Drosophila melanogaster: one gene and its partner. The protein of the gene in region 1 purifies or fractionates together with the protein of each later gene. This does not show direct contact. Each region holds a gene or a part of one and is shown on either strand. Other genes may lie near its edges.

Region 1 (4,182 bases):
TAGGGACTATAGCTGTTTAAATATCTGTCCGGTCTAGAAACGCATCCGCCTTGGTCCCGTCGCACGTTTACGCACTACTTCGTTGCCATTGGTTGCCTGTTGTCGTTTCCTCGGTGTACAGCTGCTGAAATTTGTGGTCTTCAAGGCTGTGGATATATCTACGGGGATCACTACCTCGCCAGTCTCCTCAGCCTGCTGCGGTGCTGGCTGCTCCTGCGGTGCTGGCTGCTCTTGCTCCACCACGGGTATGAAATCGGCATCCTCTTCTTTCTGAGTGTTCTCCTCTGTAAATAAAGTACGACGCACGCAGCGCCTCGCTGTTGGCGGCGTTGAATCCTCCTCGGTATCCTCCTCATCATCGGTGGTTGGATTACATCGGGCGCTGGCCCGTCGTGCAAAGGAAATGCTGCACAGTGGCGGAATCAGAGTGGATCGTTTGAGGCTTGTCAGACCCCGATCGTAGACAGCCAGGCAGATTTCAAAGCCGCTCACTTGACCGCCGGGCAGAAAGGTGCTCCGATAGCCCAAAGTAAGGTGGACCGCGCATGACTCGCCCATGTCCAGGCCGCCGTAGATATGTTCATTACGCTTGTTCAACAGGCCACACGCCTCCACATACTTCAGGGAGTTCAAATTGTAGCTCGATGGACGGGGCGGTGTGATCAGGGTTGAGGAAAACTTTTCATTTACCTCCTCGTCATCGCTCTCTGGACGCACATGCAGAGTGGTGCCTGTGCGCTCCTTCTCCTCGTAGATGCGACGACGTTCCGAGTCAAACGATCTGCCGAAGCGCGCCTTCAGCAGAAGTTCGTCGCCCCACTCAATTTGTGCTGCTTCCTCGAATCCCTCGTGCTTGTAGCGCATTGTCAACTGGTTTCTCAAAAATCCGGTGATTGCCTTGGCGCCACGCACATTTCGACTGTAGAAGCTGAGGATGCAGTCCTCCCCCAGGTCGCGGCGTATGGTCCCATCATCTACGCCATTGATGAACTCATGGATCACCTCCAAAGGCGTCTCCTCTGAAAATAAAGCAAGCGGATGAGATGCGATGCGATTCCTATTGATCAGCCCAATCGCATACAGCTGTTATCCGTTGGTTTGCCACTTACTATGTTCTTCTGGAGCGCTCATTTCCTTCAAGTATTTTCATGCGATTGCGCTTATAAAAAATAAATATAATTTACAATATATACAATTCGACTTGGACACTATGTTGTTGATACAACAATGTTTTGGTAATATGCCATATCGGCCAGTGTTGAAAGTGACGCTAGCTATCGGCTCGAGGGGTCAGGGGTCAGCGCCTACTTGTAATTCGGCTACTGTTGTCCCGATAAATCTTTACGTTAGTTGTACTTGTAAAAATCACATTACTTTAATCTGTTAAGTCTATTAATATTGTTTGATTTTTATTTAAACGTTAATTGTTAATACCATATATCGCATGCACACTTGAGGGGCGATAGTTGGCATTCCGCTGAGAACTGGTCACACCGCACAGCGGGCCAAGCTCTATAACCGATACTAGAGGTGGAGAAACATCGATGTTGGCGGACTCAATGTTTTCGATGTGTTTGGCGAAAAACATCGATCTTTGGCAGACTTAGTCGTTTACAACTTAAGAATTATTTTCTTCTTTAATATTGCTAACATAATATTGCTTTTCATACGTCGCCGGTCCAGTAAGTGCTCCCATAAAACAAAAATACTAATTAGTCCAATTCAATGGATAAGTAAGCCAGTATACATACGAGCACGTGCACGCTTACACGTTTATGGAAAATTAATTTTTACGTACAATTTATACACTTTTATCTCCGATGCGCAGTATCGATGGAAAACCATCGATGATTCCTCGAAACACATCGATGCTTGTGATTTTTCGAAAACATCGATGACATCGAGTTGGCATCGATGTTTCTCCACCTCTAACCGATACCTTCTATCATACATTGAAGACGGATTAGCACCGTCGACCACGAAAAAAGAACGCAAGGAAATCGTGCAAAATGTTCAAAAAGTACGTATGGCATGAGTTAGATGGGGACATCAGACTAACCATAGCAATTCGATCTGTGCAGATTCGAAGAGAAGGACAGCATTTCCAGCATTCAGCAGCTGAAGTCGTCTGTGCAGAAGGGCATACGTGCCAAGTTGCTGGAGGCCTATCCCAAGTTGGAGAGTCACATCGACCTGATCCTGCCCAAGAAGGACTCGTACCGCATCGCCAAGTGGTAGGATGGCTCAGTTCTTGCCACAGCACATAACTCCATTCATATTCCCGATCCCTACTCCTCCACCAGCCATGACCACATCGAACTGCTGCTAAACGGAGCCGGCGACCAGGTGTTCTTTCGCCACCGCGATGGCCCCTGGATGCCTACCCTGCGCCTCCTGCACAAGTTCCCCTACTTCGTGACCATGCAGCAAGTGGACAAAGGCGCCATCCGCTTCGTCCTGAGCGGAGCGAACGTCATGTGTCCCGGCCTCACATCGCCAGGCGCCTGTATGACGCCGGCCGACAAGGACACCGTGGTGGCCATCATGGCTGAGGGCAAGGAGCACGCCCTGGCCGTTGGACTCCTCACGTTATCCACACAGGAAATGTAAGTGTGCTTCTACCACTTCTTTAGTAGTTAATATCTAAGAATATTAATTTATATGCTTGCATTTAGTTTACTTAAATGTGTTTAAATGTTCGTCTTTGACATTGTTTTATAATACAAACGTAGTAGTTTGTTGCTAGGTTAAATATGGTAAAGCTTTGTAACTTTGAAATATTCTTGAGCTTGGAAAAATCAAATTGTGAAAGAATAATCATAAATGGACAATGTTACCAATTTGCTGAGCCGTGTGCATATTTTTTAAATTTGAATAAACCATGAACATCTTTCTTTTCTCTTGACTTTTCCACAGTCTGGCGAAGAACAAAGGCATCGGTATCGAGACGTACCACTTCCTCAACGACGGCCTGTGGAAGTCGAAGCCCGTGAAGTAGGCGAAATAGGAATCTGCACTTGCACTTTTTAGTCTTCTATGTCATGAGAGCAAAGAATGGTTTTTGATATACGCAACTGAGTCCTGATTATTATTTTTTTCTACTAATTTTACTCTGTCAGTTAAACTATTTAAAACATTGCGAAATATAATTAATGGCATTTCAAGCGAGCAGAGAGGGATTGAAAGAGAGAGTACTGAAAAAGAAAACCAACCACCTGTGGAGACCAGTGGTCCAGGTGAAAGGTGTCCAGTGGATCTAAATTTGAGCATTTTAATCGGATTCGGCAGGTATGACTGAACATTGAGTCTTCTGTTTGGCGGTCTTCATTCTGTTAGCTCTTATTTTAAGAGTGACTGAATAACTGTGACTCCTTTTGTTTATTGATTAGTCTAAAGAGCAACGAAACAAGGCCTGTAGCTTAAAGTTTGCCAGGGCTGCGAACAACTCATACAAACATTTCAAGGTTATAGTTGATATCCGGGCACTTGTGAATACACGAAAAGATTGTATACAAAAAAGAGCTTATAACTAAATGTACACAATTTATTATTTGTAATATTATAATTTTTAGTAGTTTTACTTCAAAATTATTGAAATAAAGCTTCGCAATACGTGGAACTAAGTAATTTTTGTATGGGTATCTATTGTAAAACCATAGCAAACTCTTGAATAACATAGCATACTTTGTGGCGTCTTTTACTGCCGCACGTAAAATAGGAGTGTGAAGTTTTCCCATTCTATATGCAATTGGGTATGCGGCTTGAGGTATAGAAACTACATAGGTTTTTCATGGGGCGTAATGCTCTTCTTTCAAACTGTGCCCGCCGCCCTGGTTTTTCCAAACTTTCAGCTGACCGATAAACGGTACAATCGAACAGCTGACTGGCAGGCATGCGCAATGATAACGGTACGGCGCACTCCGCCGTAAATGGAGAAAGTGCTTTCCTTTCGCGTCACACAGCATTTGACGCATCCAACGGCAAGTGCAGTGCATATTTCCCCGGAAAGGCAAGAAGAAAAACGAAAAAAAAAACAGAAAGTAAAGTTCGGAATAACGGTGGAAAACATAGGGAAAAACCACAAGTGGTGGCTGGATACCGTTACCAAGGACTATGGACCTTTTCCATTGCAAGAAATGGTAATTTCAGATGAGTAATCGCTGTGGAAAGTGCTTGTGGGGC
Region 2 (3,580 bases), about 11 Mb from region 1:
CCGCCTACAAGTGCACTACACACGCAACTGGTAAGGATTAGTCTATCATATGCCAGAAAGGCTAATTAAGTATATAATAACCTCCCCAGCTCATCGACGACAATAAAGCTCCACTAACCGATGAGGAGAACGAGAAAATCATTCAGCTGAGCTACAAACACTTCCATGGTGGAGAAACCAAAGGCGCTGCTAAGGAAACACCGGCGGAAAAGCCTGCGGAGTCCACTGCGAAGGCCGGCAAGCAATCTGGCGTAAAGCGTAATGCCCAGGCAAAATCCAATCCAGCGGAACAAATAGCTCCAGCGGACAAAACCACGCCAGGTGATGGAGTTACTCCTGCGAATGTCGCTACTCCTTCAAGTGAAGCCACTACTACTACTCCAGCAGAAGAAGCAAGCCCAGTGGAAACATCGTCTTCAGAAAATAATGCTACTCCAGCAAATGAAGCCACTACAGCGCCTGCAACGGATGCACCCACTTCAATGGAAACCAAGTCCAATCCGACACCAGATGGAGAAAACCTCGGGTAGCAGCCGCCAAAATAACCCATCCGCTTATTACGTTTAACGTTTCATATATTTATGTTGATGGAGCGTATAAAATAAGCTAAAAAAAAAGGTAAATTATTTATGTTCGCTTCTGATCGCCCAAATCCTCGATGACGTCCTCATCGATCTCGGCCCATTTTTCGGGTATGACATCGAACAAGTCATCCTTGACGTCACCCTGAATGACGATCTCGTCGTCTCCGGTAACCGAGGAGCCGCAGGCAAATTTCGTGCCAAAGAACTTGGCGGCCACCTTGAGATCAATATCTGGAACAGACAGGGAATGTATTATGCTTAGTTAACAATAAAGCTCATAAGTATATCTAATATATCTAAGTTACATGGTATGGTAATGGCTACTCATAGCATCCAGTGGGCCCGCATCCCCCTCCATTTCCTACTCTATACTCATAATGTGCGAACAGAACCTACCAAAAGTGCTCAATCCTGTGACCACGGTCACTGACTTCTTTTTGCCACGTGCCGCCCGCGAGACGCAGATACGCTTGGGCACGTCCTCTTTCTTCTTGACGCGCAACAGTCCCTTGCCACCGCGTTTCTGGCGCTTCTTGTCGTCATCCGTCCCGTCAGCGGCGGCAGCCTCCTCCTCAATCTTTAGTCGCTCGAAGTCATCGGGCATGTGGAGCTCCAGCCACTCCTTGCACTTCTCGTACTCCGGATAGTACTCGCAGTACTGCGTATAGTGGATATATATATATGTAAATATATGGGCCATATATGATCCCTAATATGGATTTTTCCCAGGTTTGAAGACGAACTCACCTCAATGGGCATCGTGCAGTGGCCACAGTACTTCATCTGGATCGGATAGGTGACGCCTTCGCGCGGACCCAACTGTAGGCGGTCGGCGACGCTGTTGGTGCCCACATCTTCGTTCGTCATTGCGGATCGGATTAACTGCCTGGGATTTGCTCCGGGTTATTGAAATATTAAAATAATGACAGTTTTAAGAAGTCGGCTACTGCAAACTGACCGTTTTTGTTTAGGCTCGTAAAATATACTAACATTGACACATGTTAAATAAATACCTACCTAAAATATACCTTTATTTAAATCGTAGTACAATTCCGACTATCAATAAGCTAAAATTAAAATTTACGTATTTTCATTAATTTTACATTGATTGAAACTATTTTAATTTATACCTTGTATTGTATTACAAAATACTTATTAAAATTGTATTTATTGGCAGAACAGAAGAATGTTTCGATAGTAAAATACCAAAATATGTTTGCCTATCAAAACAACACTCGTGAAATACTGCATGAAGGAAGCGGCATTTAGAATAATTTGCCGGTTTGTAACATGCAACCAAAGTTTTTACCAAATTGTATCACAGTAGGCTGATAATTGTATTCGAGCACAAGTCAGCCAAAAATATCCAGTTGCTAACGAAACAAGGCTTAATAAAATGGTCACATACAATACTCTAATACAGAACGAAAAGAATGAAAATGTGGTCGCCCCGATAAGCCGGCCATTCGCCAGAAAGAGGAGGACTGAGATTCGCCGCCTGCAGTCCAACAGGCGGTTGAATAAAAAGGTGTGCAAACACCATTTGGACATTGCCCATTGTACCCAGAAGAAGGCTCCATGGCGGAATTGGGCATACCTCATTCTCGCCCTCGCCGCAGGAATTGGCATGTTATTGCAGTTCACCGACAAGTTGTCCACGGTCAGCGGATTCCTGGAAAGCTACAAAAACCAGTACCACTCGATCGTCCACAACCAGGACAACTACTGCAATCCCTCCCGACGGCTGGGCGACATGGTCCTGCACGCCCGCCACCAGGTACTCAACCAGGATCTTGCATTGAACCAGCTAGAACTGGCACTGGACAACACCACCAATGAGGTGACTAGCGGGGAAACAGTAGATTTAATGTGCATCCTAAGCGGATTTTCCATATCACTTAGTATAGTTTACTATTGATTGTACTACCAGTTGTTGTATATGCTCATCCAGATTTATCCTGGTTATTGCAACAAACAACTAGATGATCTTTAGTAAACTTAATGAATTGCCAATATTTTGTGTATTAATATCCCGGATCTCCTTCCAAACAGGCAATCGTCTTGGTGGGCACCTCTGGCGTAGGCAAGAGCCACACTGCGCGAATCTTGCGCGAAACGTTTCCCTGGCCCGAGAACGTGAATACACTCTCCTGGACCGGCAGTTCTTCTTTGGGCCGAGTGAAGAGCATGCTATCCGGCCTGACATATTGCGGACAGAATATGATCTTGATTGATAACATGACGCCGAAGGATGCACACTTCGTGCCTATCATTAACGAAATGATAAGTGAGGGCGAAAAGAGCGCCAACCACACTGAGCATCCGCAACAGAAGCGGTTGACCATTGTGTTTATCTTTAATGTGAATAGCATGCAGCCCGGCGAGGAGTTTGAGATGGATATGGAGATCCTTAGAAATATGCCACACACCCAGTTGGTCACCTTTGCGACTCTGGATCCCACCCATCTGGTCGACTGCATCCGCAGGGAAGCCGCCATCGCAATGGTGCACCTGGAAGACGAGCACGTAGAAGAGATAATCAAAAGTATCGATGCTAGCGCTTCTGGCTGCAAGTCGATTTTGGCCAAGGTCCTGCTCTACGGCAAACCAATAATCGCAGACTCCCAGGATACTGACCAAGTCCTTCCAGTAGGTTCCTTTTAGTAGGTTTTTAAAGTTTACGTTTTAGACAATTCTGCAAACCAGTCGTGATAAATTTAAAAGCAGGTTGGCAAAAACTATTAGGCTAGCATCCGTGGAATATCAGCAAACAAAGTTTAATGTTGTAAATCAAAAACCAATGTTTTATTCCTGTGTATCGTACATGTACATACATATATGGCCAATACTTTGCTATTTTTGTACTACCATATGTGTAAATGAAATTAAGACGACAAATGACAAAATTTTTGTAAAAGAAAACCAATGGTATCATATAAGAATAAATTTAAATGAACGAATTATATTTAAATTGTAAGTTGACAGCATTCAACCAC

The links.
Region 2: the proteins of MCTS1 (region 1) and DENR purify together in Drosophila melanogaster (affinity purification with western blotting; one study listed by BioGRID). This does not show direct contact.

Annotation. Positions count from the first base shown.
Region 1 is NC_004354.4:6,035,960-6,040,141, forward strand, and holds MCTS1 (malignant T cell amplified sequence 1), read left to right. Parts: upstream 1-1,932; 5' UTR 1,933-2,009; coding exon 2,010-2,020; intron 2,021-2,081; coding exon 2,082-2,234; intron 2,235-2,303; coding exon 2,304-2,606; intron 2,607-2,916; coding exon 2,917-2,998; 3' UTR 2,999-3,617; downstream 3,618-4,182. Other genes in the region: rux (roughex), read right to left, coding at 34-1,019, 1,110-1,131. UniProt on the Drosophila melanogaster protein: Regulates translation as part of a complex with DENR. Specifically required for translational re-initiation in mRNAs containing upstream open reading frames (uORFs). Not required for standard translational initiation.
Region 2 is NC_004354.4:16,884,987-16,888,566, forward strand, and holds DENR (density regulated protein), read right to left. Parts: upstream 1,575-3,580; 5' UTR 1,543-1,574; exon of another isoform or gene 1,471-1,542; 5' UTR 1,452-1,470; coding exon 1,332-1,451; exon of another isoform or gene 1,314-1,331; intron 1,243-1,313; coding exon 981-1,242; intron 874-980; exon of another isoform or gene 816-873; coding exon 628-815; 3' UTR 560-627; downstream 1-559. Other genes in the region: Polr3I (RNA polymerase III subunit I), read left to right, coding at 1-30, 90-530; CG4880 (uncharacterized protein), read left to right, coding at 1,981-2,424, 2,637-3,248. UniProt on the Drosophila melanogaster protein: Regulates translation as part of a complex with MCTS1. Specifically required for translational re-initiation in mRNAs containing upstream open reading frames (uORFs). Not required for standard translational initiation.